Linked DNA regions of Alligator mississippiensis. The protein of the gene in region 1 binds, or shares a complex with, the protein of each later gene. Links are inferred from orthologs where the notes say so. Each region holds a gene or a part of one and is shown on either strand. Other genes may lie near its edges. The genes, in order: STRIP1, STRN3 and PDCD10.

Region 1 (3,745 bases):
CCTAAAAGCCACAACACCATGGACCAGTTGCAGCTCTTCTTCCTATGTAAAGATGCAGATTACATGGCCAAAAATTCAGGGTATCCAGTACTGACATTAAGATAGACTGTCAATCTGGGCAAGATGTTCATCACAACCCTGGAACAGAATATAAACATATCTGATCTGCTAGAGGTCACACTGAGGAGACTCACTAATGCCAGCTACTGCAAGATCAGATTAATGAGACTTATCCTTTGAAATACACATCAGCTACAACCAGAAATCAGTAGAGTCTAATAGCTGGTCAACAGTAGGTCAGGCTTCCCAAACTGTCTGGGTCTTGTACCATAGCATGGATAATAAAAGTTAATACTAGGTCATTACTGCTGCCCTTAACATCAGCTATCCAACAACTTAAGAGAAACTGCAGAATTGTTCTTCCTTTTTCCCTATTTATATTTCCCTTTTCCTTTCTCTGCTTGCCCATTCCTCCCTTCACATGCCCTCTAGGAGTTTGCCACATGCCCTATGAGATACAAGTATCCCAGTTTGAGACCAAAAGGCATAGGTAAAATAAGTTGATTGTTCATAGTGCCTTCCACAGCCACAATTGGCACTAACTGTCCACCACATTTAGAGAGATAAATTACTGAATGAGCCAGAAACAATGTGCTCATCGGTGAGGTACATTAGCAAGGTGTCCCTTGGATAGAGACAATATTTGCCAGCAAATACTATAAGTTGTAAACCAAGTAAGGGATGTTTGTAGTCAGTTCCTGCCCTGACACAGGGATAACACATCAGTACTTGCATCTCCTCATGAATGTTCTACAGGTGACCCTAAAACCTATGAACAGGGGACAAGAAGGGAAGAATAAACTTATCTTACCATGGACCCTAAAGTCTTCCTCAAAGCACTTTCGGTTCAGCTGGAATTCTGGGCCTTCAGTGTAGCTGTACAGTTCTGCCAACATACCATAAACCGTGTCTGGTTGTTGTCACTTTTCTTTCAGCATCCCCCCCAAAAAGTACTTCTCAAAGACTGCCTATGGTAGTCACGTAACAAACAGGCACAGAACAGAACTCAATCCTAAAGCTCCTGACAATCAGATGTGTTTTTTTCTTTTCTTTTTTTTTTTTTTAATTTTTTTTTTTAAGGTCCCCATCACTCACATTTCACATAATCAAGAGTTTAATACAATAAAAAAACCCAGGGCATTATGCAAGTGAAATTTAACATGAAAACTTTTGATGGTTAAAACTATTATTGCCAAACTAAAGATGTCTTTAAATTAAGAGATAAGATATTTTTGCCTAGAAGTACTTGTAATCCAAACAGCAAAGCAACTGTTAGGATGACAACCAAAAACCCAATTAAAAAGAAAGAAAAAGACGCACTCAAACGGAACCAACAGTTTCTGTTGTCCGACTCAAGACAAATAAAACACAGCATATGGCAAAAACTATGGTTCAAAATAGCATTAGCTTTACTATACACAACACCAAGATGCAGCTAAAGATGAGTGCATAGCAAAATACAACTTTTCTTTAGAGATCAAGAGGGATTAAATTCCCTTACCAGATAACTCCGCAGCCCATTTATCGGTATCTGCATATTCAAACTCCAAGTCTGGGGATTCGGAATAGCCCTGGTGACAGAAGGAAAATTCACTTTTAAACAAAGCACGTTTCATTAAAAAGCATCAGTAAATCAGTCAGAACAATAAAAGTTAACCCCCTGCTGCAGGCTCATGCTGCATCTTCAGCCGAACACCCGGCATTTATCAGCAGATCTTAAATGTTTCTGAGGCAACCTGCTGTGTATCCCCCGTCTTCTGGGCTGATGTAATACTGATCGCTCTCTTGTGTAACCTTGCTCTGCGCTGCTGCGCGCAGCCATACGTGATCTCTACACACAACTGGCCTCAAGACAACTTGGGGGGTGGGGATCTCCTCAAGTGAAAATCACTGTGTAAAACAGACAGAACCTCTCGTTTAATCCTAGCATTAAAGGTCTTGACCACAGGGGCCTCAGAGACCGCATTGATGTCGGACAGCACGAACCCCTGCAGAAATGCATCGCTGGGATGTCACGTGCAGGAGGGCCCTCCACGCCAAGTAAGAAACAGACAAAAACAAGAAGTCCAAGAACACGGGGAAAGTGCCCGAGTGCAGGGGGGGAGAATAACAAGCCAGCGAGACGCCGGAGTTGCTTTAAACCACCTGTCACAAGAAGAAAGGATCATCCCGCGCCTTTCCAAGGGGAAAGAGAAAGCTCTTCCTCGGGACTTCCTCAAGACACAGCCTTAATCTCCTGAGAAGAGGCTCTTCGGCCGGCCCTAAGGCAAGCCTCCGGCTTTGAGAGCCTTTGTGACCCGTCACAACCCCCCCCCCCACCCCCGCTGGGAGCTCCTCCGTCTCCATCAGCTCCTGGGAAGGAGGCGGCATTTTCTTCTTTGAAAGACGGTGATCCGTGTCCCAAGCAGCACAGCAGATGCGACTCGGAAACGACCTGCCTGCGGGGCTGGGAGGGGACATGGCGTCCAGCCCCGGCCGGGCCCCCTGCACCACCCATCGGGGCCCCACCCGACCAACCCCCTGCCTGCCACAGGGACGGGCACCGTAGGGGGTGTCAACACACGCGAGACGTGGGGGCACAACCCCCTCCATGCCCGTCTAGCCCCGACCCCAACCCCTCCGCTGACCTCCGAGTCCTTGCGCTGGTTGCGGTTGAACTCGCGGCCCTTCCCGCCTGCCAGGCCCGGGCCCTGCGCTGGGCCTGGGCCTGGACCTGGACCTGGGCCTGGACCCGGACCAGGCCCCGGCCCCGGCCCCGGTGCCGGTGCCGGGCCGCTGCGCGGCTTGTTGTTGGCCGCCAGCGGCCCCGGCCCCACGAAGCCGCCAGGCTCCATCTTGGCACCGCCTCACCCCCGCCCCCCACTCCGAGCCCACATCTCGCGAGCTCTCACCGGCTGCTCTCGCGAGAACTGCAGGAAGAGCCGAGGAGCCGCCGCCATGCTCGATGCCTCGCCAAGCCCCGCCCCCCGCCACCATGCCGGGTGTGGCTACCAATGGAACATAGCTCCGCCCCCCCAGCGGCCATGCTGGATGTGACCGCCGCTGATGGGCCCCGCCCTGCGCGGCCATGCTGGGTGTGGCCATCAAGGAGCTTCTTCCCCGCCCGGGCGGCCATATTAGGTGTGGCCATCTCAAGCTAGAGCACAGAAAGCGATTTAAACTCATCCCGGAGCCCAGTTGAGGCCTGAAGGCGTCATGGCCTGGTCCCAGCTGCCAAAGCACCGTCATTAACGCCGGGGAAAACGAGGCACAAGTGGAGGAAGTGATACACCCAAGGCTGAACAGGAAACAAGTGGCAGAGGAAAGCACCCCTTTTGTCCCCAGGCCCCAGCTAGTGCCAAAGCCTCCAAACAGCTTCCCCAGGGTACCTCTAGCCCCTGCAATTGCTTCCACCAGGGGGAAAAAAAAAGCCCCTGTATTAATGGTTCAGGAACGTATTTGGTAGTCGTAATGGTCTGAGACAAAAAGAAATGCAAACATCTCATCAGGCTCTGGGCAAATTCAAGATGGGGACAGGCCTTTGAGCCCGAACACTTGCAGAAAAAAGAGAATTTTTTTTGCGGTTTCTTAGTTGGGCTAATAAAAGGTATCATTTCTGAACCAACAGGTCTGTATTCTTGTATTCGCGAGGGGCTCTGGTAGCATTAAGGACCTGTCTCAGCAGGGGAAACACCATGACTATGAA
Region 2 (3,745 bases), on another chromosome or scaffold:
TAGTATAGTAACAAAAAGGAGTGGGTTATTACAGGTAGCCACCTCTCCATTTACCAGTATATCTCCACATTCTCTGTCATTTGCAAAGCATCCCCCATCCATGCACTTTTATTTGTACAGAGGAAAATGAAAAGAACTCATTAGTTTCATTCTGGGAGTAAGAAAATGCCTGCATTCTTAGAAAGAAAAGATGACAGCAATAAATTGACTCCCCTACACAGGTCAGTAAGATGCTCTGATCTCACAACAGTACTTGTTTTTCATTTATTTCTACGAAGTGTCATTTTCAAAGAAACATGGATAGCGAGTTAATTGAAATCAGAAAGAATCTGTAATAACTGAAAAAGTGTCTGTAGAATAAACTGAAATGTCAGAAGAAGGGAACCACACAATCAAGAGTGGCTAAGAACCTAATATTCATGTGTCAGTATTAAATACAAGACCTCAATCTTTCAAGGACTATTGCGGGTGGCTTAATTTTATGTAGGTGAGTAACCTCATAAGCCTGAAAGGTCAAAAGGGTCTGCACAATTAGGGACCAAAAAAAGAGAAACTGTTGCTATTTACAGCAAAAACTGGATCTTTACCATATATTATGACATGAGCCCCACTATAATGTTAAAATAGTGGTTTATAAATATAACCCCCCCCTTCAACAAAATATATGTAATTTCTGTAACACAAACCAACCAAGCTCTAGAAGTCAATCATAAGAGTCAATAGCCACAAGTTTTCAGTCTGATCATGTTTGCAGTAAGTTATTGTATTGAAATACAGTATTAGCACTGCTGAAACACAGGAAACAAGACGCACAGTTAAGTGCCCTGCCACTGTCCCAAGTTAGTCCTACTTCAAGAACTGAGTTAACGCTGACCAAACTAGCTCCAGAAGCAACTGGGTCCCAAAATTTACTTCACTTACAGTCTTTGTTATAACTGGGCAGTGGGGTGCTGTTTTTATTATTACTCCAGTGATACTGAATCAAGAGTACTAAGTACATGATGCACCCATTATACTAGAGCTGAGAAATCTGGTGACAGGAGCTGCTGCTTTGAAATTTAAATGCTTTATAAATCACAATCAAACAGTGTTGCAATATGCTCTAATTGGAAGGGGGTGGGGTTGGGTTTTTCTTAAAACAGCAAATTTCTGACCTACTGCTGCAAGCCATAAATACATCCAGGTACAATTATACACAGCAGATCCCTTAAGCCGGTTTCACTACAAAGAGAAAACTATTTCACTGGGACACGCTGCTCTCTCCATATTTTCCCCATAACTAAAATGCTTTTCTATGCACTTATAAAAGGGAGTCCAAATCTGCCCACCCCCTCCAGGACCAGACTGGGATCTCGGACAGCAAACAGCAGCGCTATTTCCACATGCCCAAGTCATGAGGAAGGTAATTCCTTCCCCTCACTCCAAGGAAAGATGAGAAACCGCCTCCCTCTGCTGGAACCAGACTCGGGGGCTTCACAAGGCCCGGTGCCATGGGCCAGCTGCTGACAACGGGCCGGAGGCGACCCCGGGGGGTGAAAGCCCCCTCGCCTCGCCCCCGCCCGGGGGCAGCCGCCGTCCCGGGGACTCCCCCTTCCTTGCGGAAGGAGGGGAAGTCTCCCTGCCGCGGCCCCCAGAGCCCCCGCGTCATTGTGCTCGGGGCGAGGCCCGCAGCTGTCAGGGCGCGGGAGGCGGGGGCGCTGCCCGGGCCTGCAGGCGGGGCGCGGGCTGCGAGCCGGCAGCCCAGGCGGGCGCCATGCTAGCAACCAAAATGGCTGTCCCGGGCACAGCAGCCCCGCGCAGGCCGTGAGGAGCCGGGCCGGACGCGCCACCAGGTACGGTACCGCACCGCGCCGCGCCTCTCCCCGCGTACCTGCAGCTCGGCCCGCTCCACCTCCCAGTGCGCGCGCTCCATCTCGAAGCGCGCCCACTCGTGCTGGATGTAGTGCAGGATGCCGGGGATGGTGTAGTGCTGCGGCCGCGACAGCTCTGCGCCGCCCGCCGCCTCCTGCCCCGCCGGCGCCGGCGCCGCGCCCGCCTGCCCTCCCCCGGCACAGCCCCCGCCGGCCGCCAGGCTCGCGCTGCCCGCGGGCGGCTGCTGCGGCGGCGGCTGCGGCCTCGGAACGGCCGCCATCCCGCCGCCGGCGCCGGGGTGCTCGTCCATTGTCTGCGGGGAGCCTCCTCCTCCTTCGGGTCCGGCGGGCGGGGCGGGGCGGGGCGGGGCTGGCTGGTGGGGGGCGGCCGCTGCGGGCGGGGGCGGGGTGGGCCGGGCCGGGCTGGGGCAGCAGGGGGAGGCGGCGCCGAGCGGGGTGCGAGTGTCAGAGCCGCGCCGAGCCGCCGCTGCCGCCGGCCGCCATTACAGCCGCGAGCCCTCGGCCTGACTAGCCGCCCACTGCGGAAGGGGGGGGGGGGGGACGGGCGCGCGGGGCACGCCGGGAAACCACCCCCTCCGCGCGCGCCGGACTGCGCATGCGCAGCTGAGCGGCCCGGTGGGGGCGCGGGCCGCTGGCCGTGGTCTCTAGGGCAGGGGCCTGGCGTGCGGGGGCGGAGCGGCCGCCCCTCCCCCCCCCGGCAGCCGCATTCCTCGGATGCTTCCGCTGGGGCCGCCCCAGCGCTGCGCTTCCCCGGCTGCGTGCGGGGGCTGGGAAAGGCCCCACGTGTGAGCGGTGCCTAACGGCCAGTCCCGCGTCGTTTCTTTCTGAACCAGAGCAGCCCCGAGTGTGCGCGTCTAAACCTGCCTCGTGTACCCACCTGCGCCGCGATTTGGGGGGTATACGTCTGTACCTGTACAGGAACATAGATAAAAGACATCAAGTTATCTAAAGAATTTTTTCTGGCAAAAATCTTGTTGGTCTAATATACCTCTGTCCACGAGTCAAGTTTTCTATAAAGAGATTGTGTTATCTGTCATCAAGATCTATAGATAGATTCATATATCTTTTTATAAAATAAAGATGGAAGATCTCTTTATTAGTTATAAAGATTAGCTCGATTACAAATTTTTCATGTGTGATCATGGCAGGTTATATTTTTTATTTGTATTTCGTTTTGAAAAATGTGGGCAGTTTTTCAAGCAAATGACTGACTTGCCAGAGAAATCAAAGCACCACGCAACTCCAATGCTGGTTGTAGATCTGCCAGGACAAAAAAAGGACATGGAAAAACATTTTTTTTTTTAAGTATTGCCCTTATTAACAAAGGACTATTCTTTTTTTCCCCCAAGAAGTAATTTAAAAACCTCTCCTTCATTATTTTGTAATCTTTCCTTAATCCGGGGTCCTTTCCCCAGGGAGAAAGTCTTGCAAATATTTATCACCATGCTTTGATTGGTTTCCCTGCGAAACTGGTAGCAAATTCCAGTTTTCTTCCTTATTACTTATGAGATGTATGCTATCTTCAGTCTAAATCAGGTCAGACTGTCACAGATTCATTGCCCTCAATTTCAGCAGTAATGACAGGCATATAAAGACAAATTAATTTCAGCTATCACCTCCTGCTTGAAAAAAATTGTCACCCATAATTAAATGAAAGAGGGTGTGGTTTCATCTTTCCCACAAACATATCTTTAATAACAGTTTCTTAAACAGGTTCTTTTACTAGGTGAATCAGAAATTGTATCAGTTGCTCAAGCATGGACAAATTCATGTACCATACATGGTTTTTAATCCTATGGATCCACTCTAATGACTACCTCCTCTGCTCCTTCAGGATAGGCATCTCTCATTCATGACTATGTTCTCGCTTGTAA
Region 3 (3,745 bases), on another chromosome or scaffold:
TAAACAGCGACCAGGAGTGTGGAAAGAGCTTCTGCAAAACCGGATTATTAGGCTGGGAAGACAAATCACATTTTAACAGGAGGGCTCGGGCGCGTTGCTCAGCGCAGGGGCGAGGAATAAGCTGCGTTGGACCCAGAGGCAGGGGCTTGTTTCTCCCCCCGGGCTCGGGCAGGGGGAGGTGGGTGTGGATCTCCACTGCTCCAGGAGAGCCCGAGGGGCACTTTTGAATAACGCCTTCAGGCTAAAGCTTTGCAAGGGTGGGGGGGGAAAGGTGCCAAAATAAATAAATAAATACATACATACTTAATTAGGGCAAACAACCCCCAAATTGGAGAAGCGCTACAAATTAATAATAATAATAATAATAATAATAATGAGCATCGCGGAACGGCGTGGGACACATGCACTCCCTCACTCACTCACCCGGAGCGGAGCGGAGAGGCTGGGCTGGGCTGCGCGCGGCTCCGCGGCGGCTCGGCTCTGGTGGCTCGCTGCGCGCTGGCCGCGACTCGCGGACCGCCTTAGGGGCTGATTCGACTGCGTCCGCCAACGCCTGCCTTGCCTCACGCCTCCCCAGCCCCTCTCGGGGCCACGCCCCCTTCTCAGGGCCCTCGCGCCCATTGGTCGCTCCTTCTCCGCCTTCTCTTCCAGCCCCGCCCCTTTCCTCCTCCTCCTTCCCCCGCCCTGCCGCGCGCGCGGCATGATGGGATATGTAGTCCCGTGGCGCGTCACTACAGTTCCCAGGAGCCCGCGCGGTACCCGGCGAGTTCCGGGCAACGCCTGGTGTGTGGTAACCGCGGCCGCCGCTTCCTACTCGGCAGGCACTTCCGGCGCGGCGGCGGGGCCCGCGCTACAGCTGGGAAGGCTCGGAGGGGCGGGGGGAGGTAAGGTACGGGACGTGGGGGCGCGCCGGTGCTTTGTCCCCCGCCCTCTCCTCTCTTTTCCCCGGGCCCGCTGGGGTCGCTGCGGTGTTTGCGTAGGGCCTGGCGGCTCCGCCGAGGTTACGCTGCTCTTGGGGCGTAAAACTCCTTGGAGAATCGGGGCCCGGTTGAAGGGTGGGGGCGGGGCGGGTGCTGCGGAGGTGCCCGCGCCCGTCCCCGTTCCCGTCCCGCTCACACTGGGCCCGGGTTCCCTCAGCGGGAGGGGTGTGGGGGAAGGGGAAAGCGAAAACCCCTCCTTTGTTGGTGCGGCACCTCCCGCAGGCCGGGCCCGGAGCGAGGGCGGCGGACCTGCCCTTCCGGTGTCAGCCGGGCTGGGGCGCCCCCGGGTGCAGCTCCTTGTGCGGGCTGACTGAGCCCCGTCCTCCCGCAGAGAGGTGCCGAGCCCCGGGGTCGCTGCCGGGAGGCTCCGCTCACATACCAGCCCCAGCTTGGGGTGCAGGAGGGGCCCGGAGTGAATCTCAAGAGGCCTGAGGAGGCCGCCGACCAAAATAGACTTGGCAGAGAAACTGGGGGGCGCTGTCACGAGGGGGTTTGCCTGGCAAGCAGTCTAGTTGCTGGGGTTGTGATCCTGGCTACTTCACGGGTAGGCAGCTCTTCAATTTGTCTGATGTAAGAAATCGGAGCCCAGCCCCAGAGGGCAGGTTCTGGCGTCTTGCATCCTCGCTAGGCGTAGTAATGAGGTAGGGTGGAAAAGGGCTGAATCCCTGACTGCGTGTAGGGTGAGGGGTTTCTGACTCGGGAGGAGTGACTTGCAAAACTCATGAGGTTCAAAATGGATTCGGATTTAGAAAAGTGGGTGGCTTGAGCGTTCTCCCAAGTGGCTTTTTTTCCCCTGTGACCTCTTAGTTTAGCTTCTGAAGTAGTGGCACCCAGCCATATACAAAATAACTAAATGTATGTGCATGGACAGTCATGTTTTTATAGGAGTAGAGTTGCTTGTTTTCATCTTTCTATATGAATATACCATTTCACAGGCTGTGCAAGTAGCAGTGTAGTTAAGAAAAGCTTTTGGGAAAGCTAAACTTGAATCAGTAATTTTTTTGCTACTTTTTTTTTTTTTTTAAGCTACTTTCAATGTTAAGTAAGGGAAAGTGTAATCCATACAACCAAGACCATGTGGCTTTTTTATTTTTTCCCTTAACCTCTACCTGTCTAGACTGGCCAAGTTCATTATGTTTTTGCAGTAGTAGTAAATTCCTCTAATGTTAACTTAAGTGGGTGGTCTGGTGTTTTTTTTTTTTTAATGCTAAACAAAAATCTAATCAGCCTGATCATAGTGATTTGTATCCCTTCCTTTTTCTTATATGATTCATTGTTGACAAATGGTTTGAAGGGTGTTTGAAGTCATCTTGTAGATCAGGGGTGGCCAAGCTGTGGCTGAGGGAGCCTCTGTATGGCATGCAGCAGATCGGGGAGGGAGCAGGGAACATTGTGATAGGGCGGGGAGCAGGAAGCACTGTAGCAGATCAGGCAGGGGAAGGAGGTTGGAGTGGCACTTATGGTGGGTGTGGGGCTTTCCTTGTGGCATGCCTGCTAAAGTTTGGTTCCCACTATTGTACACTAGTGGAAAAAGACCACTATCATTATGGGAAGGTCAATGAGTATTGTCAGTTGCCATGGCAGTCAGAAGAATGCAAAATTATGTTTTGGGTGGAATCGTATTTGAACTCCAGCTTCTAGGTTCGTAACACCAAGTTCTTGCATCTGATCATAACTCCCTTTAGAGGGGCACGTGAAAGGGTGATGTTTTCTTCTGTGCGTTTCCTCGAATTTTTGCTTATAGTTTCAGTAACCACAGGTAGAACTTGCGTTATCCACCCCAAGTATCTAATCTAGTTCAAGTATCCATCTGGATGAAGTACCTTGGAGCAAGGTGAGAGCAGGAAGTCTTCTGCAGGCCCTCCAGAGTGCTGAGGAAGGTCATTGGACGAAGACAAGAAATTATATTTAGGTACCACTTTGCACTTGTCCCTGGGACCTGAAAGACTCAAGGTGGCTGTTTTCTTAATTGGTGAGACAAAGTCTCTTAAGTGGTAGCAAAGGAGCAGATACCACGTTTTATCTGTTTTAGCAGCAGGATTTTTATTTTATGCATACCTTGTATCTTTCCCCAGTGGTGAAATGGCTTTTGAACTAAAATTGATTTAAAAAAAAGAAAATAAACAAAAATCTAAGGTATGTGGTGGTAGGTGGAATATTAGTACATTTTGTCCTAAAAACAAACGGGTATAGGTGGGCCATAAGTTGCAGTGCATTACTCAAATGTAGCACAGGTGCCTGAGTTAGTTTTCCATAAGGAACAAGGGCCTAATAGTGTAATGTAGCGCTTCCCGAACTCTGACACATTGCGCACCACCAATTTAAAACAATACAACCTTAAGTACCAGCAATTTTTTGTCATGTAAAGTAATTATAATAAATCTATTAACACGTACCGCTGACAAGTTGTCTGCGTTATAATCTTACATTACGTTGTGAGTTTTATATAGAAGTGGCATATGATGAAAGCTAACCACATTTTGCTGTTTTTCATAGTCACAAACGTTGCCACGTATACAAGTGACTGTCAACTGCTTTCTGTTCAGAAACTTGTATTAGTCTGGAGGTGGCCTGCATCTGTTAAATTCTAAGTTGTCTACCTCCATGAACGCAAAATGGGATCCTACATAATGAATACTAATTTTTCCTGGTGGAGTTTAGGCCTCATCCTTACCACTGCGCTAGAGATCTTGGAGTTTTTTTTTCAATACAGCCTCCTTTCAGGGAAAGTAGGGAATATTACATTGTTAGATTATCAGCACCTC

What was found.
Region 2: the proteins of STRIP1 (region 1) and STRN3 are in contact, whole or in part, in a cryo-EM structure (PDB 7K36), measured with the Homo sapiens proteins. The link is inferred for Alligator mississippiensis from reciprocal best matches to the Homo sapiens genes STRIP1 and STRN3. Residues at the interface, in NP_149079.2 of Homo sapiens: Arg441, Ile445, Tyr447, Leu449, Thr455, Val456, Val457, Gly458, Leu459, Arg491, Ser492, Pro493, Leu494, Ser495, Phe792, Leu793, Pro794, Val795, Asn797, Cys798, Leu799, Val802; in NP_001077362.1 of Homo sapiens: Thr64, Pro66, Gly67, Leu69, His70, Tyr71, Gln73, His74, Val88, Glu89, Ala91, Glu92, Ala95, Arg96, Phe99, Leu100, Glu103, Gly106, Gln107, Leu110, Asp113, Leu114.
Region 3: STRIP1 (region 1) and PDCD10 share a complex: the UniProt entries of both Homo sapiens proteins name them as parts of the core of STRIPAK complex. The link is inferred for Alligator mississippiensis from reciprocal best matches to the Homo sapiens genes STRIP1 and PDCD10.

The regions. Positions count from the first base shown.
Region 1 is NC_081837.1:34,621,037-34,624,781, reverse strand, and holds the start of STRIP1 (striatin-interacting protein 1), read right to left. Parts: upstream 2,929-3,745; 5' UTR 2,895-2,928; coding exon 2,688-2,894; intron 1,632-2,687; coding exon 1,562-1,631; intron 947-1,561; coding exon 872-946; intron 1-871. UniProt on the Homo sapiens protein: Plays a role in the regulation of cell morphology and cytoskeletal organization. Required in the cortical actin filament dynamics and cell shape. Part of the striatin-interacting phosphatase and kinase (STRIPAK) complexes.
Region 2 is NC_081825.1:253,307,240-253,310,984, forward strand, and holds the start of STRN3 (striatin-3), read right to left. Parts: upstream 2,337-3,745; 5' UTR 2,162-2,336; coding exon 1,871-2,161; intron 1,833-1,870; exon of another isoform or gene 1,711-1,832; intron 1-1,710. UniProt on the Homo sapiens protein: Calmodulin-binding scaffolding protein which is the center of the striatin-interacting phosphatase and kinase (STRIPAK) complexes.
Region 3 is NC_081830.1:73,258,489-73,262,233, reverse strand, and holds the start of PDCD10 (programmed cell death protein 10), read left to right. Parts: upstream 1-793; 5' UTR 794-884; exon of another isoform or gene 885-889; intron 890-3,745. UniProt on the Homo sapiens protein: Promotes cell proliferation. Modulates apoptotic pathways. Increases mitogen-activated protein kinase activity and STK26 activity. Important for cell migration, and for normal structure and assembly of the Golgi complex.